3 linked regions of the Drosophila melanogaster genome follow. The protein of the gene in region 1 interacts with the protein of each later gene in a pairwise test. Each region holds a gene or a part of one and is shown in the gene's direction. Other genes may lie near its edges.

The links.
Region 2: the proteins of CG2116 (region 1) and eEF2 interact in a two-hybrid assay, tested with the Drosophila melanogaster proteins (one large-scale study listed by BioGRID).
Region 3: the proteins of CG2116 (region 1) and CG13049 interact in a two-hybrid assay, tested with the Drosophila melanogaster proteins (one large-scale study listed by BioGRID).

The regions. Positions count from the first base shown.
Region 1 is NC_004354.4:8,125,172-8,136,519, forward strand, and holds CG2116 (uncharacterized protein), read left to right. Parts: upstream 1-4,640; 5' UTR 4,641-4,747; coding exon 4,748-6,544; 3' UTR 6,545-6,612; downstream 6,613-11,348. Other genes in the region: cyr (cypher), read right to left, coding at 1,519-1,807, 1,890-2,434; CG10958 (uncharacterized protein), read left to right, coding at 7,341-9,572; CG2120 (uncharacterized protein), read left to right, coding at 10,701-10,895, 10,964-11,348.
Region 2 is NT_033779.5:21,676,396-21,687,743, reverse strand, and holds eEF2 (eukaryotic translation elongation factor 2), read left to right. Parts: upstream 1-5,627; 5' UTR 5,628-5,702; coding exon 5,703-5,705; intron 5,706-6,185; coding exon 6,186-6,400; intron 6,401-6,459; coding exon 6,460-6,987; intron 6,988-7,043; exon of another isoform or gene 7,044-7,074; intron 7,075-7,563; coding exon 7,564-8,260; intron 8,261-8,341; coding exon 8,342-9,433; 3' UTR 9,434-9,831; downstream 9,832-11,348. UniProt on the Drosophila melanogaster protein: Catalyzes the GTP-dependent ribosomal translocation step during translation elongation.
Region 3 is NT_037436.4:16,276,810-16,287,620, reverse strand, and holds CG13049 (uncharacterized protein), read left to right. Parts: upstream 1-5,690; 5' UTR 5,691-5,754; coding exon 5,755-5,772; intron 5,773-5,835; coding exon 5,836-6,363; 3' UTR 6,364-6,489; downstream 6,490-10,811. Other genes in the region: CG13047 (uncharacterized protein), read left to right, coding at 2,266-2,277, 2,356-2,856; CG13048 (uncharacterized protein), read left to right, coding at 3,964-3,981, 4,041-4,643; CG13064 (uncharacterized protein), read right to left, coding at 6,816-7,070, 7,134-7,142; CG13050 (uncharacterized protein), read left to right, coding at 8,412-8,420, 8,541-8,963; CG13065 (uncharacterized protein), read right to left, coding at 9,643-10,053, 10,123-10,134.

The DNA.
Region 1 (11,348 bases):
TGGTCGTGAATGGATGAATGACATGTGCACAAAGCTGCGACGGCCGGCGACCGAAATGCAAATGCCTGGCAATGGCATTGGCCACTGTCGCACAGTGGGCCCAATCGTCGCAGAGCAGCATGCACAAATATGTGCATCATAGCTTCAAGGAATATTTGCATAATTTACTAAATAAATTACTTGTTTGATAATTTTAAATTATAAAATTAAATTATTATTATTAATTAGCTTAAAAAAGAAAAAAATCTGATTAACTGCTTGTAGGATATACATACATAAAAACATATAACAAAATCTTGTATATAAAAAGGTATTTCTCACATATTTACTATTAAATGATATTAAAATGTGGCATATGCATTTTTTCGAGCAAACACGAATAATTCGAATTGAACCCACACTTCCTAGTATCACTTTTATTCGCTGTAAGTTCCACTGTGCAGCGACTAAATGGTTAGGTGGCGGCGGGTAAAGGAAGATGTGGCAACCGCAACAGGGGCATGTCAAAATGCTAAACGATAAATATTTCTATGTATTTCACTGTTGGCTAATTGTTGTGACCTCCTAATTTACTCAAGAAGAACCTGAGATTTGAGGCGCTGGAGAGTCGAGGGAACCCCTAGAACACTTTGCTTGTTCTTCGCATTTTTCCCATTTTCCCACTTTACCTAATCGTTTGGGCCAATCTCAGTGGATTCGAGTCGAGTCGAGTCGAGTTGAGTTAAGTTCTTTTGGGCCTGGTTGGCTGGGCAACGAAAACTGTTCTAACGATGATCGCGTAATTATGGCTAACAGTTTCGGTTTTGCTGCCGTTTGCCTCACATTTATGGTCGGTGCTGTAATAACTGTTACACTTAATGAGCCAGGCTTAGTTTTGATAATGTATCTTTTTTTGTTTGGCGGCAAAATATCCCAAGAAAGACTTCCAATCAATAGGTTGTCCCATCTATTTGGATTTCCCTTTCGCAGCAATCAAGAAATCAGTGGCAAAGAATCGAAAATCAAATTGCTTTTGTTTTACATTTTCGTCGTCTTCAAAATGCACTTAAAACGTTTCTAAAACGCAACCCATAGAAATTTACAGGGTATGTGAAGTTGATGCGACTGAAAACTATTTTATGATATTTCTTTTTAAAATTTTGGAAATACTTTAGTTCTGGCAGCTTAAATCATTTGGCAGATGAACTTAAGCGAACTTTGTGAATGGATTGTTTTTCCCACTTGTTTTTCCCATCGATTGGCCCGATATACCCTCTAGATTGATACCCTCTAGATGTCGCACATAAAAATGAAAGTTAAATGCGATCAATCGCAGATCGCCCCACAGCATCGAGATCGTGGCTAATTAATGACTTTCCGTTCGTCTCGTCGCATCCAAGTTAAGTTTCTAACGGTCTGGTCTGGCGTAGAATGTCGCGCCGCCGGCACCTGTTACGCAAATGAACGATCCACCAGATACGTCCATATATATATGCATATGCATATAGATAGATAGCTTCAGCTGATCGCTTCACTCACCTGCTCGTCGATGGGACAGCCGCGGGCATCGAGTAATTGCTGCGTGGATTCGCCCAGTCCATCGAGTGCCGCACAGTCCACCACCCGCACTCCGATGTTTCCGGGCACGATGGCTCTCACCGTCAGCGTGGTGGCGACGCCCACCTCCACGGATCCGGTGCCATTGGGACCGCCCAATTCTAACCAGATCCTAACGCGTGGCGTCTCCCGCTGCTGTTGATTGATGGACGAAGTGGCGCCGAGAGCTGGAACTGCAGCAGCAGCTGCCAAGGCTCGCATCCTGGCATTTCTACATATATATATATATATATATCGAATCATAAAAGAACTTCTCCATCTTGTTACATTAACTAAAGCATTTGTAGAATTACCTATCGTGACCCTTTTCCTGTCGCAACACCGGAAGTGGCATGCCCATCGCATTGGCCGGAAGTTGGCATCTCACCGAGCTAAGGATGTCGGTGCTCTGGCGCAACTTCTGCTCCTTTTGCAGCATCACACGCACCGTATACTCCAGACTGCCGTCCTCCAGTGGCTCTGCCCTCACTCCGCAACCCGATGTTGGGATGCGCAGATGCAGACGCGTCGAGTCCTTGCCACGTGCGCGACACTCCAGCGGAAAGTCCTTGGCGTAGAGTAATCCGCGAAAGGGACGGCTCAACTCCAGATGCATCTCGAGCAGCTCCCGGCTGCAGTTCACCTGCATCGCCTGGATTTGCATGGTCTTGGTTGTGGTGGTGGTGGTGGTGGTGGTGGTGGTGGTCGTATCGTTAATGAAACTTTCCGGCGTTCTGGTTGTCCAGGCAGCATGACACAGAAACTGCGGCAGATGCAACACTCCGATGGCGATGGCCAATGGCAGCAGCTGGCCGAGATTGAAGGATGTGGACGCGGCCGAGGCGCTGGAGGAGAACATGTTTCCGATTTCCCGTTTTCTACCAGTGGCAACGGCAAACCGCCCCGCCGATGATCAAAACCGCAAAACGATAATGATGCCACTTGTTGCTGCTGTCTTTGGATGTTGCTGCTGCTGTCACTAGATGTTGCTGTGTTGGAAGCGACGACACCTGTTCGTGCGGCCGCGTGGCTAACTCTTAATTGGCCTACTCCCAGTCCAAGTTCGAGAATCTTGTCTGCGAAATGGAAATGCATTAGTTGCATACATAGCATAGCGATGATTTTGGGTCAAGTAATTACGGGGGGGGGGGGGGGGGCATGGTGTGTACTTGTTGCTGCTGGGCTTTCGTGTTTAAATGGGTTAACTAAACTGGAAATTTTGTACTTCAATTGTTAAATAACTATTTAAAGGTATAGCTAGCAATATTGATGATTTTAATCAATTGTAGGGCTAATAGAAAAAGGGAAAGGGGCACAACGCTGTCACTTTATGTAATTTTTAATGGCCAAATAAACGAGAGGCCAATCTGGGGTAGCCCTTCCCTGCCCATTTTCGATGCCATGCGATGCGATGTGATGCCAAATCCGCGACGAAAGCGGGTCAAGTTTGTCCCATATTTGTTTGATTGGATGGAGTCTATAAAGCAATGGAGCTATGGAGCCATGGGGCTACCGGGCTAAAGATGTTGCAGCACGGCGAACAAATAAATAAATAAATAGATGCGATAAAGGCAAACACCGAAGCTTAAATCAACATCAACATAATGCGTTTGCAACTTTGCGTAATCCTATTTTGTGATGTTACTAGCTGGCAGCTAGTATGGTTGGTTATTCGCTTATTGTGCTCTCTATTTGTATTTGTGATTCCCATCTCTTATTAACTTGACTGGGCATTGTAATCAGCCCAATTAACAATATAACTTGGACTCTACTTAAAAACTAAATATACAAGTATGTATGTATTTGTATCTTTCGAAGTGACGGTGCCCTTCACTCGTTTTGAGTTATTTCAAAATCATAGGGCTTATGTCCTTAGTCCTTAATCTTACAAATTAATATACTGAGATATTATTCAATATAACATGTGTGGTTACAATTGTATAGATGTTTTTTTGTCAATAAACTTATACGATCCTTTCAGTTGGTCCTTATTCTAAATCGCACAGATAAGTTCTTTAAATCTAAGTGTGATATTTTTTTAACCATTTGTTTTTACTGTAACTTGACATAGTTTTTTTTTTTTATGTATAACTGATATTATTCTTACCTTTTAGAACGAATTTAATATCCTTTCATCATCCCAATTTTAGCATTCTTTAAGATTTCGCGTTGAGCTTCTTCTCTTTTTCTATAACACTTATATTATAAACAGTAAAAAAAATCACATTCCTTGCGCAATTATGCGGTCAATTTGAATTGCGAAAAAAAGCAGAAGAACCGCAATTTTCAAATTGGTTAATTATCAGCTACTACGCATGCGCGCACTTCGCACGCTCTCAACGAACAGAAACAGTAAACACCGTAAAAAAAAAAACAAAACACTAACTGCTATTGAACAAGTGGATGAGATCGCGAAACACGCCCGTTTTGGATTGAAGAAGTCTCAAGAAGACAAGCGCGCGCCACCGAGTGTGCAGATGCAATGCACCGGGCCAATTCCGAGTCCAGAAGTTAGCCAAGTTAGTCGCGAGCGCAGACCGCAAAACAGTCAGTACAGCAACAACAACAATGAGGGAAGGGGCCAAAAGCGGCAAAAGACGTTGGCCGACGTCGCGCATGCCCAGCGATGTTTTTTTTTGGCGCGCAAGCACCTATTCAAATTGCGCGTTATCGATAATGCGCATGTATCGATATTTTGCGATCTATTCATCGGCACAATATTTAATTTATTTATTATATATATTTTAGTAAAGAAAATACACGTTTCACACAGGCAATGATCGAAATTCGAATAGATGTATTCGCATTTCTCGAATTTTCGTTTTTCTTTTCAAAAAGTAGCAGTTATTTGATCGAAACAAAATTAATATTGGTCGATATATGGAATGTCATACCTCGTTGAATTTGTAATAAAGTTTCAAATCGAGTGGCATTTACAGCTCAAAATGTTGGATTTTCATGATCTATGATCTACGCAGAGTGAGTCGATGTATGAAAGCGGAAGGAAGCAAGCATTTCTACAAAGCGAGTATTTTGTTGAAAATTGCATCGATACCTGGTATCCGATAGTTAGTTTCGGCCAGCAACCTGCGACTGGTCACACTTGCAACTTTTTACGTTTTTTTTCGGCAGTCGTGCGAATTAATTAATTAATTCAGTTGATGTGACCAGGATGAGCCACAAACGCTGCCTTGCGAACGAGGTAATCGAATTCGTCCTGCCGGCCAATAGCGATTACTCGGACGAAGACAACCGTGGAAACGTTCGTGTGATTAACACTAGCGATGATGCCACCTACGTGCTTCTGGACAACCTGGGCAACGAGTTCGAAGAGGACATCATCATCGTCAATGAGAACGGCGTGGAGAAGGAGATGCTGATGAGCAAGGAGCTGCGCGACTTTATAGTGGGCTCCCGGGTGAAGGATTTGACGGATGACGAACAGATGCCGCAATTTGTGGTCAGGGAATTGGATATGAGCGAAGTGGGGGATTTGGTGGAGGTGGAACCGGAGATGGAACAGGAGGCGGACTATGGCGACTACGGCGACTACGAGCACGAACCTAGCTACGGCCATCCGCGCGATAACGAAAGGGTGGAAGAGGATCTGGATATGTATCCACCGTCGTCACCCTCGCTGCCACCATCGCCACCAAGGCCGCCGTCGCCTGTTGTCCAGCCCGCTAGCAAAGCTAGAAATTCTGCCCGCCAGATCGCCTTACGTAGCTTTGTCAGCCAAAAAAACAACGACGACGATGATGGTAGCGTGAAGGAGGTGAAGCCAAGCGAAAAGATGCTGGAGGAGTTCAAGGGACCGCGTCGCTACATGCTTTTCGACGACCTGATAGCCACCATTGTGGACTTTGACGAGGATAGCACACCCCTTGTGGAGTTCTCCATGATCAGCGACATCATGGACGAGAAGCTGCCGGTGGAGTGCGGCATTTGCCCAGATGTGATGCACAAATCAAAGCTGTCCAAGCACCACAAGACCCATCTGGTGCCTGGCACCAATCGCTATGCTTGCATTTACTGCACGGAAACGTATCGCGACTGCAAGTACCTGGCCGGACATGCGCGGCGCCACATGGGCATCCGTCCATACGTCTGCGAACTGTGCACCCTATACTTTTCGACCAAGCAGGATCTGCGCGTGCACAATCAGCGCCGACATCTGGAGAAGGAGCATATTTGCGAAGTGTGCGGCAAGACGTTCGCCCAGAATACCCAGCTGAAGCGGCATCGCGAGGCGACGCACGAGAAGAAGCGGCGATTCCAGTGCGAGTACTGCCAGAAGGCCTACTACAAGAATTTCTCTCTGCAGGAGCACATCCGCAATGTTCACATGGGCAAGCGGCGGATGCTCAAATGCCCATTCTGTGGCATGCAGTGTCGCGATGCTCACAAGATGGCCCGTCATCGTAAGGAGATGCATCTGAGCCAGGGCACATACGTGTGCCATTTGTGCCAGGAGGAGTTCACCGACATCAGCTACTTCGATGCCCACAAGCGTTCGATTCAGTGCCGTAGCAATACGCGTCGCTTTGTGAATGCGGATGGGAATCGTGAAGGATCCGATTCGGAATCCATTTCCGGTCGCAATATGAATGGCCAGGACGACGATTACGACGGCATGGGCCCACTGCAGGAGGAGTACGACGAGGATGACGGCCTGTTGGTTGAGGACAATCAACCAGAGGAGCAGGGTTCGCCGTCCAATCGCCAATATTTGGACGAGAGCGAGCAACAGTATGTGCAGCTATCGGATTACGATGACCAGCACCTGCTGGTGGAGAACGCAGTGGACGCAGAGGATGGCGGTGAGGATTTAGATGAGCTGCTAACCGAGGATCAGTACTTTAACGCTGTCCAACAGCATCACCAGCAGCATCAGCAGCATCATGGCCGAGGGCAGGACTACAACGACGAGCTGATATATGAAATCACCTTGAAGACTGAGGATAACTGAGTGCCGCAACTCCGCGCAAATTTTGTACATATATAGGTCGCAATTAAATACTATCATGTAAAGAATTCATTCGCTTGACTTTGTTTTTGAATGGCAGTACCAAGTTTTTTGGTCGAATGCAACCCAGTGTGTACAAATCCGCAGGGCTGTATTTTAAAGGGCATCAAGTTCGGACTGTTGATTGCAACCAAGGGGTCAAACATCGCGCCTTTTGGTTGTACCAAGGGGTCATTGCGGTTTTGGCAATGGAATTTTCCACTCATTTTGCATTTAGCAAGGCCCCGGTGACGTCAGCACGGGCTATACAGCAGGAGGAAGTGAGAAGGAAATAACTTTAGCTACAGCACTTATTGCTCCATTTCGATAACGATTATTTCGGGTGGAGATGAACTAATTTCAAAACTAAATAGACTTTTATGTATTAAATACGTATTATTCAATGATTTATTGTTAATTATTATTGACAAAATATGGTAAAGCAGTCATGAGACACTTTTTATTAAAAAAAAAGATCATGTATATTTGCTTAAGCCTGCACTTCTCTTGTTTTGCAACACTAATGGGGCGGGCACCACTGACAACAGAAGTAAACAAACGTAAAGACAACATTTTTGTTTCTACCGGAAAAGTAGGCGAAATGGGCAATGACCACGAAACCAAGGGAACCCGGGATCCTTCGATCAAACTTCTCCAGTCACACAACAAACCACCTTGATTTGGAGCAGAGTTGCCTTCAGAAATTCCGCACAACAAAGCGATTCTCATCCAAATCTCGACCTGGCATATATTTTAAACAATGGACGACAACGAGGATGAGCTGGAGGAGCACCAGGAGCTGGTCAGCGACGGCAGTGTCGAGGAGGAGGAGGAGGTGGAGCCCGATCTGGGACCAGTGGACAGTTGGGAGTCCTTTAATGACCGCATCGATGGCCTGATCTTTAACGAGCGATGCGACAAGTCGGTGAAGAAGTTGGACGAACGCCGGCTGGCGATACTCAACCGGGTGCGTCAGCAGTTCCGCGAGGCCCCGAAAGGCGTCGCCGAACGTTGCCAGGCCCAGAAGTCGCCGATTGATCAACGGCTGGAGTTGTCCAGTGAGCGATTGAACGAACTGGTGCGCTTTGGCAAAGAACTAGTGACCAATGTCCGGGTGGCCAACGAGCGAAGGGAGCTGAATCGCCGACTCTTCGAGGGTGCGCAGAAGAATCAGATGCATGTGAAGCTGCAACGCGAAAGCGTTGAGACAATGGCCCGTTTCGAGAACATTAAGGCGCGCTGGACGGAGCTGGAGGAGACCAATGAGCCGATGCTGTTGTGGGACCAAATCGAAGAGCAAAAGAAACGCATTGCCGAGATTATGGCACGCAAGGATGAGATGATATCTGCCTGCCAAGCGGAGGTGGACCGCATGAATGCCAAGTACGAGTTCGATCGCGAGCGGCAGGCCCAGGATCTTTGTTGTCTGGTGGAGCGCGTTGATCACCAGGTGGAGACGCTTAAGGAGGCCTACAAGGAGCACATCCAAATGCTGCGGCAAACCATCGAGGAGGAGCGTCAAATCTTCGCCGATAATGCGGTGGAGAAGTGGCGCACCTTCTTCGATGCGATGAATGCCAACTTTGACGAGAAGGCCAATTTGGTAAGGGCACGCGAGCAATTCTATGCTCGCCAAACCCAGCAGATCAACGAGTCCCAGGAGGAGCTGACCAAGAGCACTCGCATTCGGCTGGAGAAGGAGTGCGAGAGGCTCGAGCTGGAGCTACGTCGCACGCGCGACAATGTGCTGATGAACTCCGAGAAGCTGGACTACAACTATCAGGTTCTCCAGAAGCGCAACGAGGAGAACGTGATCATTAACAACCAGCAGAAGCGACGGGTGGCCCGACTGCATGAGGCGATCGGACGCACCCGGCGTGGCCTGAAGAATCTTTACAACACGGGCAAGCGGAACATAGCCCGTCTTTCCTCGGACATCTACAAGCTGCACTCCAACATCAACGATATGGAGTCGAAGGCGCATCAGGCGAGGCTGAACAATCGCGAAAAGTTCGATCGCATCTGGGAGATCAACTACAAGGAACTGAACCTGCTGGTGGATCGGGTCTACCACATCGATCGCATCATACACGAGCAGCAGTTGGCCATGCCGTGGTCCAGCCCCGTGCCACCCATTCCAAACATCAACAAGGCGAAGAAAAAGCGCAATAACATTCTGGAGAAGTTTGACATGCGAATTGGCCGGGTTCCCAAGAACAGGGTGATGCCCAACTCGGGCGTAAATTGCAAGCCGGATATCAAGGAGCTTCCGCCGGATTCACTACGCTTGATGCGTAATCTTATTCGCAAGCTGTCCGATCGCGGCGGTTTCCTCATCGAGGAGCGTCTGCTAAAGATTCTTGAACCGTATTCCGAGGAGGAAAAATGCCTGGTACGCATCGACAATATATTTGCGGCGCTGCGAATTCGTCATCTGCGGGATGTCAAGGAACTGACCAAGGTTTTCATGCCGTACACCTACTGTCCGAATTGCCAGCCGCAGGGATTGAGTCCACGCAAGTGTGCCGAGGTGTTCATGAAGGATCAAAAGCCAAATCGGCTGCAGGGCGCGGCGGGTGGCCAACCGGATGAAAAGGAGCATAGGTCGACAGGGGATACATTTCTACCCAAGAGCGAGGTGGCGGCCAAGAGATGTCACAATCACTATCTGGTCATGGAACCGGCCCTCTGCCTGCACGCCATGAATCTGTTCACCTCCAAGATGCACAAAAAGATGTACGAACACGAACCGGGTAGCATTCTCAATGCGGTAAATCTCATTCAGATTACAGATGCGGAGATCCGTAATTTCTGGCGCCAGTTCTCGGCCTGCTTCCCGGCCTCCAAGTGCAAGCTGTGGAAGACACTGGAGCACGGACTGAATCACTACGTTGAGGTGCTCAAGATGCGTGTGCAGTACGATGCGGAAGTCGTCTTTCTGCGTCGCCAAAACGAAGAGTTGCGCCATCTGCTGCAAAAGTTCACCGTCTAGGTGCGATATTATTCAATTACAGCCTCAACCGCAATGCACATACATAATCCCAAGCAATTATTGTCCGATTTCACTGCAAACATGATAAATTATAATTGTGCCTAGGTCTTGCTCTTTGACATTGACATCGAAATAGTTTAGAGACGTGGGGTCCCTGCACGGGCGCCATCTGAAAAAGCTTGTTTCATTCAAGAGTCGTGCAATAAAAGTATATTTTGAACATGAAAACCTTGTGATTTTAAATATTTAAAATAATGGAACCCCTCAAAGTTAAATATTACTACGTCTATAGCTCAGTTTGTCCCGCTCTAAACTATGAACAGCTCTCTGATATCATTATTAGTGCCTAGCATGAAAAGAGCTCTTTGATAACATTTGTGAGGGGTTTCCCCTTGAGTCCTTAAATTAATCTTAATACCATATCTTTGAGATAAATATGACTTGTATTTGCTTCATAAACTTAAAGTACCCATCCATCCCCTTTAGAAATATTCCCAATGCCGTCCATGCCGCTCTCTGGTCCACCAAACTGTCGATCTCAGATGTTTGATTTGCTTTTCATTTCATTTCGAACTTTGAGTCCGTGGGAACTAGTTGGCGTTAGATGATCTCTACGACGGGGAATACCTTCGATCGCTTACCTCCCACAGCTACCATTTCACTACTGGAAGCCAAACGATTAGAACTTGTTGCACTTGTGTCTTATGTGTCTTATCAGGGCAAACCGATAAAGTTGAGCGGTAGACAAGAAAATGGTTATACTACATATATATGAAACCACATATTTAGGGTAGTCCACGAAAGGGATCGTCCAATTGGCTCAAAGTGCGCACCGCCAGCGTTTAAAGTGCAGACCGGGCTAATCATTCATTTATGGGCAAACTTTATGGACGACATTTCGATAAAATAATAATACAAGAGCAACCGCAACAGCTTGTTCTATTGAATTTCATGGCAAGCAACTACAACTGCGACCTGTAATAATATACTACATAATTAAACACGGCGTAATCTTATCGACGCTCGTTCGGACTCCATTGGCATTGCCGTCTATTTTCCTGCGGTAGCGGAAGTCTTGATCGTCAGTTGGCCAAACAACAGCAGTCCGAACGGAAGCGGAGGACCATCATGCGATCCATAGATCCCGTATCCCAAATGGCAAACGCCACTTTGGCGGACGACGATCTGGGTAACTATGACGTTTGCCTCGAGGATTTGCAACTGTTTGCCCAACTGGAGGATCTCTCCGGAGAAAGATTGCCAATGGAGATGGAGCTGCTGAATCCGGGCTCGGAATACGATCTATTGGAACTTGTGAATGGGGTGAGTTGACGGTCCAAATGGTAAATTGCACACTATTAATGAATCCATAATCAATCTCCTTCATTCAGGCTCTCCAGCAGCGAAACACCACGGAACATAAGCCAACAGACATGTGCAAGCCCAAGCGGACACCAACCACTAAACGCCACCGAACAACTGGCAAGGATCACACCTGCGACATATGCGACAGAAGATTCTCGGAAGCCTACAATCTGCGCATCCACAAGATGACGCACACGGACGAGAAGCCGCATGTGTGCGTGGAGTGCGGCAAGGGATTCCGGCAACTGAACAAGCTACGCATCCATGCAGTGACCCACACGGCGGAGCGGCCACACAAATGTGATATCTGCGGCAAGGGTTTCCGGTATGCCAACTACCTAACTGTCCATCGACGCTTGCATACGGGAGAGAAACCATATCCATGTTTGGCCACCGACTGTCATCTCTCCT
Region 2 (11,348 bases), on another chromosome or scaffold:
AAAATAAGGTTAGACAATAAAAAATGAAGAAGTTTCTTTTTCGATTCAAAGCACATATGCATGTACATATATGAGTTTATATAGGTAATAATGTTTGCCTAACGACAGAAATACGACACAAGACACGCTTTTTACAGAGCAAAAAGATAGCAGTAACTTTTCACTAACAGCCAAAACTTTTTGGTTTCAGCTAGCAACGCCTTCTAGATGTAACTATTAATGACATATGCAATATAAATAATAAGTGCATGTGATTCGCTATAAATTATTACTTGCTACTAAATATTTTGTGAGTTATTTAAAGTAAAGGCACCCGAACACAATTTCAAAGGTCAATTTGTAAACAGTTGTTAGTCATTTGACCCATAAATCCAATAAAAGCCAGATTTCTATAATTCTATAATCAAGCGATACAGTTTTATTTGTTTTTTAATCAGATTTTCTAACTAAAAGCTAGATCGACTACCAAAAAATAGATCAATTCACAGTCGCCGATATCTGGAGCCTAGCCGTACCCAGTCTTTTTCACATCCTCGCTCCTTGAGTGACGTATAGGGATTTGTCACTCCACAGGCACTCTCCAATTGCAATGGACCCACACCGAAGACAGCAGATGCTGCAAGTATCATGACCGAAATAAGCTTCAACACTTATACAGGGTGCGGCAGCATAATATTATTTCTTCAGAACTCATTGAATACTATTTTAGGCATCGGAAAATATTTATGAGATAAAGCGCTCTGGAAAGTGTTCCGTCAAAATAAGTTACGTTCTGAAAGTTCCTGCACTATCGCCATCTTATACGGATGAAAATGAAGATCATCATGAAGAATTCTTCTCACAGAACGATCGGATAGTCCAAAGGCAGATCCGTGTTTGGACGCAGAACGCCGTGGGGATTGCAATATTGACGCTCGTACTGCTTCAATGTTCTTAGGCGATCTAACGGGTCGAGGGATTCCAGTTCATCGTTTTGTCGCACTTGCAGTTTGCCTGAATGTAGTGACCCATGAAACAATTGATTTGCGGTCTGGGACGTGAGCCAACGGAGCTAAATTAAAGCGATACCGAAATGCACGCTGTGCTTCCCGCCGTGCGGGAAAAACTTTGCAGTAACCCCTCTTGAATGGGACCACTATCGCTCCGCTATGACATCAATTAACTGAATAGCGTGCATTTTAAAAAAAGGAAGTTATGTTGCCGCACCCTGTATCTTCAGCAGCAAGATTGTTTCGCGATGGTACAGCCGAATGGACCAACGTACAAAATATAATGTGTTCATTCGGGTTATAATACCTCCTGCTTTCTAGCAAAATGGTGCTGACAGTTTGGAAGCAAGAATTTAACGAAAAAAAAGCAAGAGAGAAAATCTGTCCGTATGAATATCGAAATCTCAGGAACTATAAAATCTTGAAGGTTTAGATTAAGCATACGGATTCCAGAGACAAAGACGCTGCCCAAGTTTGTTTGCTCATGTTTCCACTCCCACTCTAACGTCCAGAAATAGCACAAAACTGCCACACCCGCACTTTAAAAAAAATTGTTGATATTTTTCACATTTCTATTAGTTTTGTAAATTTTTATCAATTTGCAAAAAACACACCCACTGTAACGTCCTAAAACCGCTAAGCCGGTCACGCCCATACTTTTGAAGAAATTGTAAATTTTTTCTCATTTTATTCCCCGATATCCCAGAAATTTCGCGTACGCATTCACACTAGCTGAGTAACGGTTATCTGATTGTCGAGGAACTCTACTATAGTATTCTTTCTTGTTTTCAATTTATTAATCTACATCTGCTTGTATACTTGAAGTTGAGTATAGCAGAATTCTTCTTGTAGTTAAATTGTTATACTCATTAAAACTCGCTTTGTCACTTTGAACCTTCTGATAGAAAGCTTTGAGTCCTTCCAATTCCACCTGCCAAGCCCTTCTCAAATTGATAAAGATGTTAAAAAAAAGTTCTGGGTGAAGTGACCACACGGGTACGGGTACGGGCAGGACTTGACGGCAGAATCATATGAACATCCCCCGGTCAAGACGTTTTCCACATTGGCTGAATTTTCATTCATACCTTGGTTTTTTATGCACCCGAACCATACAACCGACAGTCTGTTCGGCACTTTACACTGTCGCTGACTTTTTGCAAACTTTTTCCGCATTACCTTATTCACACTTGTTTTAGCACCCCACGCTCAACAAAAATTGTTCTTGGATGTTTTACAATTTACTTAAAAAGCACGACGACATTGTGTGAGTCGTCGGAACCTTTTTATGCATTTGCCGTTTATTAAGGAACTGTCGACATATGTGAACACTTATGTACATTGCTTGGTTCCCGTGTGCCGAGTTCGGATTGGGCCTATTAAGCTTTTGTGTCTCATTGTGTGCTTTACAAAAATACATTGGGACCGGGCATTTCGTATTCTTATTAAATCTTTATTGGGATTTTGTCCGAAACCTAAAATATGCACTCTTCGACGGTACACATATAAAGTTTCCTATACTTTTGTTGGATGTTATCGGACTTCGTACATGGATTGAGTTCAATTACTAATGGGGGTTGGGATAATAATGTAAAATCTAGCATAACGATCCTTGCTTTCGATAACTCTTAATTTTAGTCTTTAGGACCCAAAAGAAATATTGCATTTTTAAAAGCACTTCGTTCGGCAGTTTTTCTCTCAACTCAAGTCTTTACAATATAGAAGCTTAATCAAGTGGGTCTACCGACCTATGCTTCACAAACCATGCAAGTTATAAGAAAACTGAATAAAAATTAAAAGTTTAGTAGGATTTTTGTATGTAGACAAGTAAAGTTGTCAGACTTACGGCAATCAGAAATTAAATGGCTTGACTCGCTCATCTAATAAAAATCCAAGATCCATTTTCAAGTTTATCGGAAGCTTCCACACTCAAACTAAATTAAAATTTAGATTGACGCAATTGCCACTCGTTGGACAATAAGTATCGTTTTAACTTTTCGTGCGACAAAAACGATGGAACATGCTTTTCCAAAATGATGCATTTGACGGTTTAAGAGTATTTTAGGCTTATTGCTCCTTTTTCTGCGTTGTAGTTTCTAATTATGATTTATATAATAGTTGGTTTGCCTGTCGTTTTTTATAGAGCTTTGTTTATATTACTTTTGGTTTCATATTAAATGTTACATTTTATTGAGTAATTAAAATGTATGTTCTAAGTAAAGAAAAGAAATAAAACATATAATTTTTGTCAGCATAAGTTAATTTTTTATTATTGAAATTATATTATTTCGATCATATATATCATTTCACATATTTTGTAAATTTCTAGTATTATAATTTTTCACTTTGTCGAAAACACAACATAAAGTATACTTTAAATATTTCGGCTCAAATTGGTCGGTAAACGTTTAACTTTACATTTTTTGAGCAAAAGGTGACTGATAATATTTGCAAACGGTTTTAAGTGGATAATCCTAGACCACTTAATCACGTAATTTAACTGAATCTTTTTGAATATTTGTTGCTTTCGCACTACAACAACACCGTCGCGCACAAAGCAATACATCAACTGTGCAACGTGAAAGTCCCCAATCACTGAATTTTCCTTTACCGTTAGCACAGCCCGCGAGCTCGGAAAATCACTTGAAAACTGTTCGCCCGCGTCGTCATCATTTTCATTTGCCGGCCGTCTTCGCGCAGCAACAATGCTGCCGAAACATTAGAACGAGCTTGACTCAAAATGCGAGCAACAATGCTGCAGCAACATTGGAACGAGTGAGTTTTTGAATTCGAGTGAGGTGAGTTCTGGTTGGTGAGGGGTAAGTGAGGTGAGTTCTAGGTGGTGAGGGGTATTGTTTGAGTGATTTTTTTTTAATGTGGAACACAATAATGAGAAAAAGAAAAAGCTCTTTTCTTTCCCGAAAGCTGTTAAATTCAGCAAGAGAGCTATTCTACAGTTTGAAGCAGCTTCACGAACCATTTCTATATTTGATGCGTGGGCACCGGTGGGCAAATATGTACGTGGTTTAATTTTTAAAAATTTATGGAAATTTACAAAACGAATACAAAAATCAACAAATATCAAAACGTTTGTCAAAAGAGAGACAACATGGTACGTGTATGTAAACAAAGCATTATTTTGGGCGGAAAGGTGTTTGGCTATGGTTTAATTAAAAAGTTTTATTCAAAATATACCAATTAGGCGTTCTGTCTTCCCCGGGTTGAAAATATTCAACTGTTGTCCTCCTTTCAATTGACCAATATCTCTAGTTCCTGGTTAGTTTTCCACGTTTTTTAGAAAAAATAAAATATCTGATATAAGCGGGATCGCAAGTGGAGAATAGGGTACAGTAGAGTAGAGTTTCCAAGGCTGCTTTATCAATGATACGAACCTGAACTCAGAGGTGACATGAGGCCGTCTAATTCGAAAGTTTCAAGTGACGCTAGAGCAAAAGGAGAGAAGAGAGAACGCTATAGTAGAGTTCCCTGAGTATCAAACACCCATTACTTATCTAGTGTGAATGCGAACGCCATATTTCATAATTTATAAAATAATTATCTTGTTGTTGGCAAATCGATAGAAATTTACAAGACTAATAAAATTATGAACAAATTTGGAAAAATGGTTAATGGTGCGGTTTTAGGGCGTTAGAGTGGGCATCTCAGCCTTCTAGTTTTTATAGCTCCTGAGATCTCAACGTTCATACGGATAGGCGGACACATGGACATGGCTAGATCGACTCGGCTATTGATCCTGAGCAATATGGTTGGAAACGCTTCCTTCTGCCTGTTACATACCATTCAACGAACAAACGATATCCTTATACTCTACGAGTAGCGGGTATAATGAATACCAAAAACACTTACGCCATGACCTTCCACCGCATTTTTTACAAATTTTGAAACTTCTTGTCGGAAAATTTGACTTTCGGATCTCTTGATTTTTTTCGTTTTATTATTTGTCTGCCAAATTTCTGTCGATATGCCGTGGCGTGACCCACTCTTACACCTACAAACCTCAATAAGTTTTCAAGCCCACAATTCAAACCTTTTTTTAATTCCTACCGCAACGCCAACAAAATTTTTAAATATTTTCCTAGAGAATCGCATTAGCTATGTAATGGGTATCTAATAGTCGTAAAAATCGACGATAGCGTTCTCGCTTGCTATACTTTAAATATTACTGCGTGCGTAGAATTTCGAAATGCCGTTTGATCGAAACTATCATAAGTCGTTAACTTTAAAGGCTCGGCATCTATGAGCAAATGAGAATATAACTAGCTTTCACTTAAAGTTTATTTTTCATAAGATAGTTTAAGCGATAAAGAAATATATATATATAGATTAGATTATTTTTAAGAAAAATAATTTAGAAGAAATTTAAGCGGATGTATGTAAATTAATAATAGTGCTTAGCAATATTTATTTATGGCTATATAAACAACCACGATTTCGACGCGGAAAATTACGTGGAAAATTACGAAAACGTCATTCTGTAAAATAAAAGTTTAAAAACTATAAAGTAAACATGCAAAATAACTATCTGATGAATCTGTCACGTGAACTACTATCGATCAACTACTGGTTCCGACTATCGAAAATATCAAGAATTGTCCCAGCTCTATGGTCGCTGCAGCGCCTCGCTCTTTCCTGTCGAAACGCCGTTGAAAGGCGTAGTGTTTTTTTGGTCCGCGAGAAAATCTCCATACATCCAAAATGGTAGGTGCCCAAAGTCAGAAATAATAGCCCCATATCTACAGAAAAGGCCTAGAGGCGACCTGCATTAATATCTTTAATGCCCAGTGCAAAAAGTGCAGATGTCTCAACCATTACTTGGTGAAATGATGTGTCCACATATTTTCACGTTTGCTTGTTGTGTGTGTGTGCATTATGGTGAAATGCAAGACAAAGACTAGGAATGACGTATGCAATTTTCTATTGAAATTTGGCTAGAATGTGATCCTGTTTGGTGCTTGTTGTGAAATACCCAAGGAATAGATGTATATTGCTATATTTATCGATGCCCATACTCGCGAGTGAGTGATTTGTGGTTTTTAGTTCTTATCTAACCTCAAAGACCTTTGCACGACTGTGAAGACTTAGTGTGTGTATGGACGCCATTTTTAAATCAGCACTGTGTATAGATCGAGTGGAAACTCGTTATAATATGTACATAACGATGCCTTATTTATTTTACAGGTCAACTTCACCGTCGACGAGATCCGTGGCCTCATGGACAAGAAGCGGAACATCCGCAACATGTCTGTGATTGCCCACGTAGACCACGGCAAGTCCACTCTGACCGATTCCCTTGTGTCGAAGGCTGGTATCATTGCCGGAGCCAAGGCTGGTGAGACTCGTTTCACTGACACCCGCAAGGACGAGCAGGAGCGCTGCATTACCATCAAGTCGACGTAAGACCAGTCATGTTCCAGCACCCACGGCTTTTTTAATCCGCCTTTCATTATTGCAGTGCCATTTCCATGTACTTTGAGGTGGAGGAAAAGGATCTGGTGTTCATTACCCACCCCGATCAGCGCGAGAAGGAGTGCAAGGGTTTCCTGATCAACTTGATCGACTCGCCCGGTCACGTTGACTTCTCCTCGGAGGTGACCGCCGCCCTTCGTGTAACCGACGGTGCACTCGTTGTTGTAGACTGCGTCTCCGGAGTTTGTGTCCAGACCGAAACCGTGCTGCGTCAGGCCATCGCTGAGCGTATTAAGCCCATCCTATTCATGAACAAAATGGACCGCGCTCTGCTTGAGCTGCAACTAGATGCCGAGGAGCTGTACCAGACCTTCCAGCGCATCGTCGAGAACGTAAACGTTATCATTGCCACCTATAACGATGACGGAGGACCGATGGGTGAGGTTCGCGTGGATCCCTCTAAGGGATCAGTGGGCTTCGGTTCTGGGCTTCACGGCTGGGCGTTCACCCTCAAGCAGTTCTCTGAGATGTACTCCGAGAAATTCAAGATTGATGTTGTCAAGCTAATGAACCGGTGAGTCATGTCTCAAGTTTGTTTGTAAATGTTTTCAAACTTCTACCACAAAACGTGTGGCGCTTAGCGGGCGGCTTCTTGAAAGACATCTCCGCAAGGAAAGTCCTTTTAGAGTCTCTCGTGCTGACGGCGCCACAAGTGGACCTTAAATAGAAGAAGAATAAACTTTCGGATGCTGTTTAAACGCTGACTCGGGACCGCTTTCCTAATGTTCAAACGAGTCATGTTAAGGCAGTTACCTTACACTAATTATTTTTAAATTGTATACAGAAATCTTTTATTGTTCACATAATTTCTTCATATATCTGAAATCAATTGTTGTTTGGCCTCATATTATACAAATCGATATATTCGGACGTCATTTTTGATATCTAAGACTTAAAATTTATAAATCAAATTTGCAACAAATTTATTGGCTGAAATGAATCATTTTGTATTATACAAAATTTCCAGAAAAATAATATTAATTATTTTTTTAAATAAGCGATTTGAACTGGTCATTAAGCATTTCATTAAGTGATAAGTAGTTAATAAGAAATATCTGAAGGCACAATTAATCGTTCAACTTCTTCACAGATTGTGGGGTGAAAACTTCTTTAACGCCAAGACCAAGAAATGGCAGAAACAGAAAGAGGCTGACAACAAACGCTCGTTCTGCATGTACATCCTGGACCCCATCTACAAGGTGTTCGATGCCATTATGAATTACAAGAAGGAGGAGATAGGTACCTTGCTCGAGAAAATCGGTGTGACTCTGAAGCATGAAGACAAGGACAAAGATGGCAAAGCTCTGCTGAAGACTGTGATGCGCACCTGGCTGCCAGCCGGCGAGGCTTTACTTCAGATGATTGCTATTCATTTGCCGTCGCCAGTGGTTGCCCAGAAGTACCGCATGGAGATGCTGTACGAAGGTCCCCATGACGATGAGGCCGCTATCGCCGTTAAGTCTTGCGATCCTGATGGTCCTCTAATGATGTACATTTCTAAGATGGTACCGACCTCTGACAAGGGTCGCTTCTATGCTTTCGGTCGTGTGTTCGCCGGTAAGGTGGCCACCGGGCAAAAGTGCCGAATCATGGGCCCCAACTACACTCCCGGCAAGAAGGAGGACTTATATGAGAAGGCTATTCAGCGCACAATTCTCATGATGGGTCGTTACGTCGAGGCCATCGAGGATGTGCCCTCTGGCAACATTTGCGGTCTGGTCGGTGTTGATCAGTTCTTGGTTAAGACCGGTACGATTACCACCTTCAAGGACGCCCACAACATGAAGGTTTGCAGCGTTTTTCATTTTCTTCTTTTTTTAAGCAGCATACAAATTTATTATTGACTTTTAAAATTTTTTCGTTTTTAGGTCATGAAGTTCTCCGTGTCCCCTGTGGTGCGCGTGGCTGTTGAGCCAAAGAACCCCGCGGACTTGCCTAAGCTGGTGGAGGGCTTGAAGCGTTTGGCTAAGTCCGATCCTATGGTGCAGTGTATCATCGAAGAGTCCGGCGAGCATATCATTGCTGGTGCCGGTGAGCTGCATTTGGAGATCTGCCTTAAGGATCTAGAGGAAGACCACGCTTGTATCCCACTGAAGAAGTCTGATCCCGTCGTCTCCTACCGTGAGACTGTGTCGGAGGAGTCCGACCAGATGTGTCTGTCCAAGTCGCCCAACAAGCACAACCGTCTGCTGATGAAAGCCCTACCTATGCCAGACGGTCTTCCCGAGGACATTGATAACGGCGATGTGAGTGCCAAGGATGAGTTCAAGGCTCGTGCCCGTTATTTGTCTGAGAAGTACGACTACGATGTGACTGAGGCCCGTAAGATCTGGTGCTTCGGCCCCGACGGAACCGGTCCGAATTTCATCCTCGACTGTACCAAGTCCGTGCAGTACCTTAACGAAATCAAGGACTCTGTTGTCGCTGGATTCCAATGGGCCTCAAAGGAGGGTATTTTAGCCGACGAAAACTTGCGCGGTGTCCGCTTCAACATCTACGATGTGACACTTCACGCTGATGCCATCCATCGTGGTGGTGGCCAGATCATTCCAACCACTCGTCGTTGTCTGTACGCTGCCGCTATAACCGCCAAGCCGCGCCTGATGGAGCCTGTTTACCTGTGCGAGATCCAGTGCCCCGAGGTTGCTGTAGGAGGAATATACGGTGTGCTCAACAGGCGACGTGGCCATGTATTCGAGGAAAACCAGGTTGTGGGCACTCCCATGTTCGTTGTGAAGGCATACCTGCCCGTCAACGAGTCATTCGGTTTTACCGCCGATCTGCGCTCTAATACCGGAGGACAGGCCTTCCCTCAATGTGTCTTCGATCATTGGCAGGTGTTGCCTGGCGATCCGAGCGAGCCCTCAAGCAAGCCCTATGCCATCGTCCAGGATACTCGTAAGCGCAAGGGTCTTAAGGAAGGATTGCCCGATCTATCCCAGTACTTGGACAAGTTGTAAAGCACCACCACCCGATCCCCCACAACATCCAAGTGCAGCTGGCTGAGCGGAAAAGCATAGAAAAATATGGAGTGACCGAATTTAACATCTTTATTCGGCAAGGCACTTGAAACATCGCCTTTGGTCAATGTTTTAAAACAAATAAAAACAATAAAAATTTTGATGATTATGAATTGTATAACATTAAATCAAGAATAAATCAAGTAAATGATTTAATACTTATCTTTACATAAATCAGAGCGCCGCTATGTGACTGACACGAGAATTGATTTTGGTTTAATTTTGTTTGCGAAAAATTTACAAATTATGCGCTCTCTTGTGTCCTTGCCATACATTAAAGCGATTTGTCGGTGACGATACCCATATACACTGGAATACGTGAATAAAGTTAGACGCATATTTTAGTTTTTATTACTTAGTCTGGTCGTCCATTTGTGAAAATAATGCAGTCAGCCGTTCCTACCGCGCCGGTGTGGGTTGAAGTCCTTGCTAAGCAATATCGCCGTTTAAGTAAAATGAATATTAACTCGATATCCGACATGACCAACAAATTTTCAGAATGTCAAGTACTAGAAATTTAGGTTTTAAGTTTATTTCTGCACTGATCTATCTATTTATTTGCTCCATTTTTGCTGATAGAAACTCTTGTTGAAAGAAACACTTCTTTGTAAACAGTCAACGACGATTTATGCTGCGCGTGTCGAAAGATATCGATAAAATATTTTGGTACATTTCTGATATCCCTAGATTTGTGAACGTTTCTCTGTCATAAACAAAAGTTTGCTTTCGTGTTGTCGGAAAGTCGGTGATAAGTAGGTTCTCTGGTCTCTGGCATGGGCATTTTCATGTGTGTTTGAGATAAAAGCCCATTGCGAAATTAGAATATTCTCGGACATAACCGTTCAAAGCCGATGGTACCGTGCTTTAAGTGTCGCCGCGGCGTCTGCCATTCGTGGACCCCCTGCCCTCTTCGCTTTGAGTTTTCTATTATTAGCAGCTTTTCGCTTCGAAAGACTTCTGTTTGACCATTTTGTGAGCCGACAGCAGAAGCTTCCGAACAACTCCAGGCAGTCGAAAAAGTCGGTTCGCCTTGTCGGCAGTTAGTGCATGTGTCTGCATTTGAAAAAATCGATGCCAGACTGCAGAAACTTCATTGAGAACGAAAAGGAGTGAGAAGATGAAAGCCAACAGCAGTAAGTTTTACTGCTAGACAATGTGGCCCTCGATTTTGTGCGTATATGGATGTAACAGTTACTGTAAGCGTTAGACATTAACTGATAACACCGGAAATGAATTTTTCCCATATTAGGGTTTTTCCCATTATACACTATTGACGCAAATTGGTCGAGTATGATTTTTGAGGCAAGCTCAGTTGCTGTTGCAAATGGTTTTCAATTGACCAAAGACGAACAAACGTGTTTTTACATGTACATACATATGTATGTATACATGTAGCCAGCCGTACAAGGTGTGTGTGTGTGGGTGGAGGTTGACGAGAATGCTTTGTGAGAGCGCCTGACTGGGGGGGACCCAAACTCTTCGCCTAGACCCCAAAGTGTATAGAAAATATGAATGAAGATGAGGCAGAGTGCGAATAGTGAGCTTCTACACTCTTCTCTCCCGAGTAGATGTTGTCTCGTTCTCCTCGCAGCACTTCATTCTCAAAATCGTTCTCCGCGAAAAATCAATGCATAAAAACGGTGAACGGTGAACAGTTTTTAATTGCCCGGAGTTGCGCGTGTGTTTACCTTTTTTGGTGTAAATGCCATAAGGATTTTTGTGAAAGGATGAAAAATGTTTAAATGTGTGGCATACAATGACAATGTACTTATATATTCACACATTCATATGTGAAATAGCAGTGCTAAGAAATACAAAGGAATTTTTCCATGTCCCTTTTTGGAATCGACTTTTT
Region 3 (10,811 bases), on another chromosome or scaffold:
TTAGTGAATACACATTGATAATAAACTTGCCATCTAAGCTTAGCCTTTCGGTTGAGTCTCTTTTTATTGGCCATTTTTAGTCTCATTGCCATCGATGGAGACTGCATTTGCATAATGTTTTGAAGGTTAATACGCGGGCACACACAAAAAAAAAAGAGGTCTTCGTCCATTGGATTTACACCTTTCACTCTCCTACGATGGGTTAATGGTTGCTATTTACATACACACAAATCGGGCCAAGAGATCTCCATCTCCATCCGCGCCTCATAATGAGACCTCAAACTTGGCATTGGCATTCGGAATTCTCTTGTGAAAACAAAAGAAATCGAGACAACGACTAACTTTTGACGTATATTTATGAAAGCCAATTAAAGTCAAGTGTCATTGATCAGATCTGGGAACGGAACTGGGAACTGGGATCTGGATCTATCTATATATCTAGACATATTTATGCCTGCCGTATAGAACCTGCTTCCCGCGAAAACAAAAACGGGAATTAGAAATATGGTCTGCATAAATTTGGGGCTTAAAAATCAATTAAAGCAAACGGTACTGACGACAGCCAAACAATTCCTAAGAGGGATAAAGCTTCTGATGAGCCTCTAAATCAGATTGCAAATAAATTTAAAAGGTTAACTAGGAAGTGAGCGGATCGCACAGCTGTGAAGTGGAGTGCTGAAGACAAGAAGTTGATGGCGATGGTCTATGAAGATGAAGATGAAGATGGTTAAAGATGTACTCATTTCCGTGCTTGAGTCACCGGAAAATTGGCGCGTCATCGGTTGAGAATTCCTGTCCAGAAATTGTGAACAAGTGAACGAGAAGAGGTCACCCTTGGAGTTGGAATGTACTAGCTGTGGTTGCTGCCAAGATTGGATCAATCCGATCAAAAGTGGCCACAATGCGGATACAGAATACAGAATATATGGAAAAGTATACAGTTACATGCGTGGGGCAACTTGATCACCAGATATCATTTATATACATATATATATATCGCCCTCTCGACTCGTCATCGCGACAACCTTGAGACCGGCGTCATCATCGTATCGGATTTCAGAAGCAGCTATAAAATAACGACCATTTAGATACTCTATACGATTTGTTAGTAAGCGGTATGAGTATAATATTTTGTGACTGTACTACAGAAAAACTTCGATTTTTCATAAACTCGCTCTTTGAAATCATGCTCCTAATGGGTTGTTCTACCAAGTCATTGACACTAAAATATGCTAATTTACAAACATTCATAAGTAGCAAAAGTACCCGATCATAAAGAGTAAAACAATGCAAATCGCAGACACCAAGCCATCAGATGACGACGATGCTGCTGACCAGGCCAGCACGTGACCGAGAGAGACCGAGAGAGATGGCTCATTAAGTCAGCTAGCAAGCAGGTTTCGACTGCTCGATCATTCGGCCCCGCGCCTTGTTGGCCAATTAAGCTGAAGCGAATTGATGAGACCCACTGGATGAGGATGAGGGTGCATCACATCCTGTGGCCAGGTGGCGTCAAGGTCAGGTCAACACGAAAACAAATGAAGACCCGTCGGCTAGGATGAGAGGGAAATTTACGACCGCCTTTTATTGGCGTCTCTGCAAGCCATTAAAAAGTGAACTAATGAGACACTTAGTGGGCCGGAATCGTGGCCTTTGAGGAAGGGGTACCATTTTTATGGCCAATTTGACTTAGATTGCGGCCAATTCAATGCGAAGCGGCGCACATTGATGGCCCAAACAGACTGCAAATTACGACAAGACAGCCCGGCCACCGAGTCAGTCTTCAATTGCATACAAATGTCGATCACTGCACTTGGAAAAATTTTTATAAAGACTATAACTTGGTATGCTATACAAAAAGTTTACCTCTGCATGTAAATACACTGCACTAAATAGTTAAGGTTAAAAATTTTAAATAAAATATTTATACATTGAAATCAGAATTATATCATATCTTTTCTTATAATATTTACCAAAGCTCAAATATTTTTCCAAGTGCAACCGAAATATTCAAGCGACAACTTGGACAACTTCCGACAGTCCATTGGGCAATTGAAGGCGGAGCACGTCTTGGCCAAATGGCGATCATGTATGCTACTTGGCACTCGACCAGGTGGGCCAGCTAATGAAGAAGCGACCAAAAATCGGCTCAGACAGAATGTCCCCCAAAGAGCACGGATATGGGCACGAGCTATATAAGCCACTGGTCTGGCTCCAAATGAACATTATCGCTCAAGTGCTTTAGACAAACCCAACCACAGCAATATGTACAAGTTTGTAAGTGATCCTATGGGGATTAGCGCCCAAACAATGTGGACTAAGAGGTGGTTAATGATTACCTATCCTATTTTCCAGTTGGTTCTCGCTGCCCTCATCGCCTGCTCTGCGGCCAAACCAGGAGTTGTAGCTCCACTGGCTGCTCCTCTGGCTGCTCCCCTGGCCTACGCTAATGCTCCTCTGTACGCCGCAGGTGGCAGCAGCCAGGTGGATGTCCGCAACAACTACGACGGCACCCTGTCCTCCTACACCACCGCTCCGTTCGAGTTCGCCGGCCCCTACTCCAGCCGCTATGTGTCCGGAATCCCAGCTGCCCCCGCCGTGGTGGCCAAGTACGCTGCTGCTCCTCTGGCCGCCGCCTACTCTGCTCCTCTGGCTGCTCCCGTCGCTGCTCCTCTGGCCGCTGCTCCCGTTGCTGCTCCTCTGGCCGCTGCTCCCTATGCCGCCGCTGCCTACTCCGCCTATCCCTATGCCTCGCCCTACGCTGCACCCTACCTGGCATCTCCCTACGCCGCTCCCTACGCTGCATCCTATGCTGCTCCCATCGCCGCTGCTGCTCCAGCTCCAGTGGTGGTCTAAGGACACACCTGTGAAGCAGGCCAAACTATAGGAAATTTTTGATAAACAAAAAAAAAAACTGATAATAAATTACGAACCAACAATTAGAGCGCACCATCTTATTATTTGCAGAAATGCCTTGAATAATTAACGAAAAACGAAAGTACTATTATTTATCGGATATTTTTGGTTCATGAAAATTCAATTGGACGCTCATTTCGATTGGGTCAATATATATATATTTCTTAAGAAAATATAAAATAACTTCTTTACTTAACTATGATCAATTTTTGATTAGATGATTCCTTTTGTGCAAGTGGTTTTATTAAGCATCCATATATTTCCAGATTTCAGATAGAGGAAGTTATTTAATTTTTTTTTAGAAACTTTAGAACTTTCCATTTAATGCTCTGAATTTCTCGTTTCTCACTCATTTCTTTGATATGCAAAATAAGCTTGTTTATTGGTGGATATCATTTAATACAAATTATGCATAAATTATAGGTCTGCATTTAATTTTTAATGGAATTTTTTCTAACAGCTGCATTGAATTTTAAAGATAATATTGACAAAGTAGCAACATACATAAGTTAGGGACTTAGGGAAGTTAAAGTCAGACAACTTGGTCACCATGTAAACAATATTTGTTGTGATTGCGTTGTCACCTAAGGCGCAATATCGATTGTTATTTATGGTCAAAGCAATATTTATGGATTATCATAATCATATTCCACTCATGGGCAACTGTCAATGCCTGGGCTTGGTTGGCCCCATGTTATATAATCATGGGCCGTGCTTTCGAATCGCCCAAGAAGTTATTGGCCCCTCGATCGAAGGCAGTGCCATTCGCAGTCGCCGTCTCAGTCACGACTTGCTGACCAACTAAATGGGATTGGGTTGCCTCCCTCCAAATGATGCAACCCATTAAGTTAGGTGAGTGGGCCAAGTCGTCGTCGAAAGTGAAGAAATGCAAGTGCAAGTCTTTTGATTGCGTACCGCCTTCAATTCGCTATAAATATTAATTTAATTTGACAATGCAAAGACATTAGCAGCCGAACCAACAGGTCGAGCACATCGATCGAGAAGCTACTGCCCCAAAGAAACCGAACTTCAAATCCCCCAAGCAAGATGTGGCAACTGACATGGGTAAGGACTGCAAAGTTCTTTTGACCAAAGATATTAATAGGTAACCTAAATATTTTTAGGCCTTTGCATTGGCTTTCCTGCTGGTGGGTGGTGAGGCAAAGCCCTCTCATCTTCACTACAATCACTTCGATCCCCACCATGTCAACCACTTTGACGGACATCATCTGAGCCACTTGGATTCTCTGCATGCTCTGCCGCACCACTTGGATTACGCGGTGCAGGAATCGGTCCTTCCTCCGCCAGCTCCTTTGCTTCCTGCGGTGGCTCCACCACCAGCATTTGCTCCACCACAACCTGTATTTGCTCCAGCGCCTCTCTTACCTGCTCTTGCACCATTTTTACCGGCTCCTGCTCCTCTTCTGCCCGCTCCTGCACCACTTCTACCAGCACCTGCACCACTTCTACCAGCTCCAGCTTTTCTGCCAGCTCCTACTCCTCTTTTGCCCGAGTTCCATGTGCCCAGTGTCACCCATCAAGTGCTGCCGCCCGTCCTGGAGGCGGTGCCCTTTGCACCCACCTACCGTGCCATTCCCGGACCGAAGACCACCACCCACCGCGTGTCCATTGGCTACGCCTTTCCCAAGCTGCTGGCCACGCCCCACGCCCATCTGAAAGCCCTGCCCCTGAAGTTCGCTCATCACCATCACCACTCGCTGTGGTGATCATCCCGACCTTACGGATGATGAAAACCTCACCAAAGAGTAATTAGTGTCAGATAGGATATGTAAAGCTTAAATCTACAAGTCTACCTGCATTATACAATAATTTATCGAATAAATATAGTGAAATAAAAAACGAAACAAATAAAATTCATGCATTATACAATAATATATCGAATAAATATAGTCAAATAAAATGAATTATAAATCAAATTACATTTATACTCAATTTAAGGCTCTGTTAACCTTAGAATTCAATCATTGCGTTCTTAAGCAAAATATATGAAAATATATTCAGTATTCCCGCACATTCTTACCAATTATTTCCAAAAATAGAAATCCCAGAGAATGTAACTGCGGTTGATAAAATCATAGGCACACCAAAAAATTAGCAAAAGGAAACATATTCGCTATCTGATTCAGACTCTCATTACGAACCAGACGCCTCGTAATGTCGCCAAATGGGGTTTCATTTATTCGGCCAACACACACACACACAAACTATTGGCAACACACACACACACACACTCACAAGTGGGGCACAGAAATGTTGTTAGTGGATTTCGAACTGCACGCAACATGAAATCAAATCAGAAATTCCAGACACAAACCCGGCCCAAACACGCGACAATTGTTGCAACAATAAACAAAAAGCGGGTGGACGAAAAAAAGTGGTAATTCAATTAAATGATTGAGCCAAGTAACACGTACTCTGGGTAAATAATTGCAGCTCATTACAAAAGCACCACCCACCGAAAATATTCGAAAAGCCCCAACTGTCATAAACCCGACCGAAACCCAAACGAAATCTTGCCCAATATTAACCTAGGTTATGGTCGGGAATTGCGTGCAATTATGAAAGTTTTCGGGGGCGATCGACGTAAGAGGCTACCGATTGATTATTAAGTACATATGTACATATATCGCACCGATCCAGCAACGCCCTTCATCAGCTCCCAATATAGAAAGTCTTCCAAGGTGTTTTCGTATGCGCGTCCATGGATATTCCGTGGGCTACAGAATTATAAAAGCGTTACCCAGTGGACAATTGGATATCACAGTTCAGTCTGCCTTCAAGCTAATCACACCTAGCAAATCATACCCAATCCCCAAAATGTTCGCCAAGATTGTGGTGAGTTGCAAAGGATGTCCGGATCTATCGAAGTGGATTATAGATATATACCTTCATTTACAGCTCGTTGCCCTCTGCGTGGCCTCTGCTCAGGCTGGTCTCCTTCCTTTCCATGCTCCGGCTCCACTGGCTGCTCCACTTGCTCCTGCCTTCGCAGCTCCCCTGGCTGCTCCTGTGGCTACCGCCGGAGTGGTGGCTCCATATGCCTCCAGCTTCAATGCCCACCGCATCAACCACGCCGTGGCATACCCAGTGGCTCCTGCTCCAGCTCCAGTGGCCTTCGCTGCTCCCCTTCCCGCTCCCCTGCCCGTTCCAGTTGCTGCTCCCGCTCCAGTGGCCTTTGCCGCTCCTGCTCCTCTGCCAGTGGCTGCTGCTCCTGCTCCGGTGGCCTTTGCTGCTCCCGCCAAGGTTGCCTTCGCCGCTCCCGCTCCGGTGGCTGCTCCTCTGGGCTTCGCCCCTGCTCCGGCGCCTGTTGCCTTCGCCGCACCAGCCAAGTTCGGATTCGGACCCTTCGCCGCTCCCCTGGCTGCTCCAGTCCCAGCGCCTCTGGCTGTGGCCCCCAAGTTCGCTCCCGCCCCATACTTCTTCTAAGGACTTAGCTGTAGGATCACCCAGCTCATACACTCCCATCCGTCCTATTAGATTGTAGAAACTAGCCCAAATCTTCATCTCCTAGAGAGCAGCAATGCTTGGCGAATAAACAATTATCCATTAATCAAATTTACAAACGTGTTTCTTTGAGGAAGTTTACTTGGTAGCCTCTCAGTAGTATTTCCTATTATAGCTGCCTTGGATTATACCATCCAAAATCATATTTCAAATTAATACTGCTCTTAAAAGTCGAACATCATTAGCGGATAATATATAATACCTTCTAAAACCATATAAACGGTTTCTATATTTTTTACGGATTTTTAGGTAAGTTTTATAGAATCATTCATCAGTGATAGCAGCAATGTTAAACGTAATGATTAAAAGAATGATTATTATTATTATTTGTTTTTATTTATAAGTTAAACTATGTTTTTCTAGGGTATACATCGCTAGAACCTAATGTTTTTGACATGACCAATCCTCTGGAAGAGAGGAACATGTTCGTAGGGCGTGTGCGAAATGGGCACCGAATCGTAGGTGACGTGGGCAATCTTCGTGAGAGGTGCCACAATGGTGTAGCCAGGATGCTGAGCCAACTCCTGGGGCGTTGATGCAACCGGCAGAGGATGATGATAGATCACCGGGTGATGGTAGATAACCGTGGCGGCAAAGGCACCACTCAAAAGGCCGAATAGCACGACGAGCTAAAATAAGATCTATCAGATACAGATACTAATAAAGGAGTACTGAGTATCTATCCTGTTTACCTTGAACATTCTCTGGTGATATTGTGGTCAGAACTGCACTTGGACTAAGCTGAATGCAGCCGAAGGCCAATCAATTTATAGGCTCGTCTTCATCGCTGGATTTTCATAGCGCTTTTAAACAGTTAGGAGGGGTAAACCGGTTGACAATCCCCTGAGATCAGCAACTGCATTTCCCTTGCTACCAGGAACCTGTTGCAACATCCATGTAGTGGGAGCACTACTCCACTTGGCCTCTGGTCCCCTTCTCTTCGAAAAGAAACCCGTTTTCAAGTTCAAGTTTAAAGCGTCAACGCCGAAGATTATCAAAGAGTCAGTGACTCTTTTGTGCACTTAATTATGGCACATTGGGTTGGTTGGTTGCTTTTGTTGTCTTACATTTCTCGGCTTTTTGTTTGTTTGTTTTTTTTTTCTTGGGAAGTATGAGTTAGTTGGTCACACGTCTGCGGATTTGCCTTTGTTTACCCATTTGATGTCTCTTTTCAATTTTAATCATTGCCCAATCTTGTGTTTTTCGAGCTATTTTATGTGGCTTTGGAGGTGTTAAGAATTGATTAGTTTGACTTTATTCAGCGGCTGTTCGAGCTCTTTATGCTAAAGCGGTTATAAACGTTGTTTTAGTTTTAATACTAGCACACTCCCTACAACGAAGTTGCTTTTGTGGCCAGTCTGACACATACAAATTTTGCTTAATATATACTTGTGTTATAGATTCGTGAAAAATAGATTTTGAAATATATTTAAATTAAACCTACGAATATATAGCGTTTTTTTGGAGGAGTCTATACTTTTACTTATATAGTTCTCTTCTTTTCTATACTGAATAAAAATAAACAGACCATTGACCCGAAGTTCAGATCTTAGTTCTTGATCAGATCCAACCGGAATCACATGAAGGAAACGAAGGAAAAGGCCACCCACCAGATTTAAAATGCCCACAGGCCAAATTAAAAACTGGAACTGGAACCATTGTGGACTGGTAAATGCCAAACTCGATTGCAGATTATACAATGCTGGCCCAAAAGGCAAAAAAAAACAGGTGTTGGATTTTCTTTTTATTTACAGCAGCTACGGATGGTTTTGTGGCATGCCGCTAACTTGGGCAACTTGTCAGGCGAATTAGATTTACTTTGTGGCACTGCTCATTAGATCACCGATGTCCATGTGGGGATGCAATCCACTGAACTGGGGTTTGGTATAAAAGAGGCCTGCTGGGATCAACTGCAGCAACACAATTGGTTAAGCCGCCACAGAAGCAGCCGGAAAATTACCTACAGCAAGATGAAAGGAGTAAGTGGTACCAGGATATAAAAGGATAATACAATTATTAATAAAAAATACTTTAGAAAATATAAGCAATTTTTTTTACTTAAATCATATAAATAACATTTGTCTTTTCTTCATTGAAAGCTGCTACTCATTACAATCGCCTGCTTGACGACCTCCATCCTGGCAGCTCCTGCTCCTGAACCCGCTCCAGAACCATCTCCGTCTCCAGCTCCTGCTCCATCTCCATCACCCAGCATTGGAATCGGAATTGGTCATGGCTACGGTGGATATGGCCTGGGATTGGGTCTAGGAATCGGGCACTACGGAGGACTCTACGGGCACGGCTATGGCGGGCACTATGGAGGTCTTGGTCTGGGATTGGGCTACCATGCACCCATCATCTCCAAGACGATCATCGGCAAAAGCTACTTGGGCGGCTATGGCTATGGCCTCGGTCACGGATATCTCGGAGGCTACGGCCATGGACTGTACGGAGGACACGGTCTGGGTCTGGGTCTGGGTCTGGGATACGGACTGGGATATGGCTATGGCCACGGTTGGTAGAGGTACTCCCAAGTCAAGTAAAGTTAAGCCAAATGGAGCCGGGACGAGCGTGTGAGAGTTTTCAATCAAGTCATATACTTCGCAGTACCCAAATCTTATTCAGTCAGTCACTCAGCAAGTCAATAAATCAATAAAGACAAAGCAAAAAATGTACAAAAAACTAGAATCATGGTCAACCGTTTATTAAAACTGGATCTTTTTTTCTCACGGTTCTTTGAGACATATTTATAATTGTCTTAATTGCCTATACTAAACATATATTTTGATACTTAATGTAAGTAAAGCACACTTTTGATGTTCTGAACAAAATATATAACATTCGTTTACGATTTCAAAACTTTGGCTATAAGGAACATCCAAATACTGAAATCTGAAAATAAATATCTGAAAAACAAAATGAAACTGAATATTTGAAAATTGTCAGCACGTTTTTCATATTGCCTCAAACGCTTGATCAAATAAAACAGTTTTAAGTTTAGTTTTTAAATTCAATCGAAATATATTTCAACATCAAACCCACTCTTCACAATCTGTTTTTTAACAATTTGATTTCACTTTACAAAACCTTCACTGATTTCTCTCTCTCTCTTTTTTCTCTGTGTATTTACATCTCATTTCTGACCGATCCAAACAAAACGAAATGCATGCGGAAAACGATGATGGGTGGTATGGACCTCGTTTACCATCCATGAGCGAGTCCATAGGCAGGAGCAGCAAGAGCTGTCTTGTAGCCCAGTCCCAGAGGAGCACCCAGAGTAGGATATGCCGACTTGTAGCCCAATCCCAAGGGAGCGGCCAGAGGGGCGTGAGCTAGTCCCAAAGGACCATGAGCCAGGCCAATGGGACCGGGACCATATCCCAATCCGTAGGCGGAAAGGGCCGGAGCAGCCAGAGGAGCGTGCGCCAAGGCCGGGGCGGCATAGCTAAGCCTGGGGGCCAGCCCGTAAGAGGCAATCGAGGGAGCAGCCAAGGCGTGTCCATAGGAGATGGCCGGAGCAGCTGCAGTCAGCGGCAAGGCCGGAGCAGCTAATCCGCCCAAATAGCCAGGAGCAGCAGCAGCGCTGGCCAGGCAGAAAACGGCGAAAACGAACTAGTTGATGGGGGAAAAAAAAATGAGATACTAACAAAGGACTTTTCAGAGTATATCAATTCCACTTACGTATTTGAACATTTTGGTTTTGGTTGCAAGTTGAACTCGTGGCAAGAACACAAAGCTGAATAATGCCGCTGTCTAAGGCACAAATGCTTTTATAGCCCACAGACCTGGCCAAAATGCAGCACGAGAACGGATCCAAACTGGCGGCCCAGAGACTTTTACTTTTGTTCAAACGAGAGACATAGGCATATTCGTAGCCCAAAACCGAGTCCAAGAGAGCCACATGCAAAGCTGGCCTGTCGAGTATCGAGATGGCGATGGAGACCTGGGACCCACCGGAGCACCACCTGGCCCCGCCCCAGACAACGCGGATGTGGGCCTGGGCTGCGATTTGGCCATACCCTTTCGGTGGTAAACTAAATGAGAGATTGTTTTTATCTAATGAATAATAAGGATTTTAATACGTAATTAGGAAAGTCATCAAATGAAATATTACATAAATTATTCATTAAATTTTTGATTCTTCTACAAGGATAGTAGTTATTCTGTGAGTTATTCGGTTCACAATAATGAAATATTTATATTTACCTATTTACACTATTAGAACTTATTTTGTCTTAATATTTTTAATATATTTATGGAAATTTCAATCTAAATATATATTATCTATTATAAGTATTATGCTGTTTATATTGAATATTCATAATTGTCTCCAGTCAAAGGGTATTTCCCCAATCGATCAACGTTTCGAC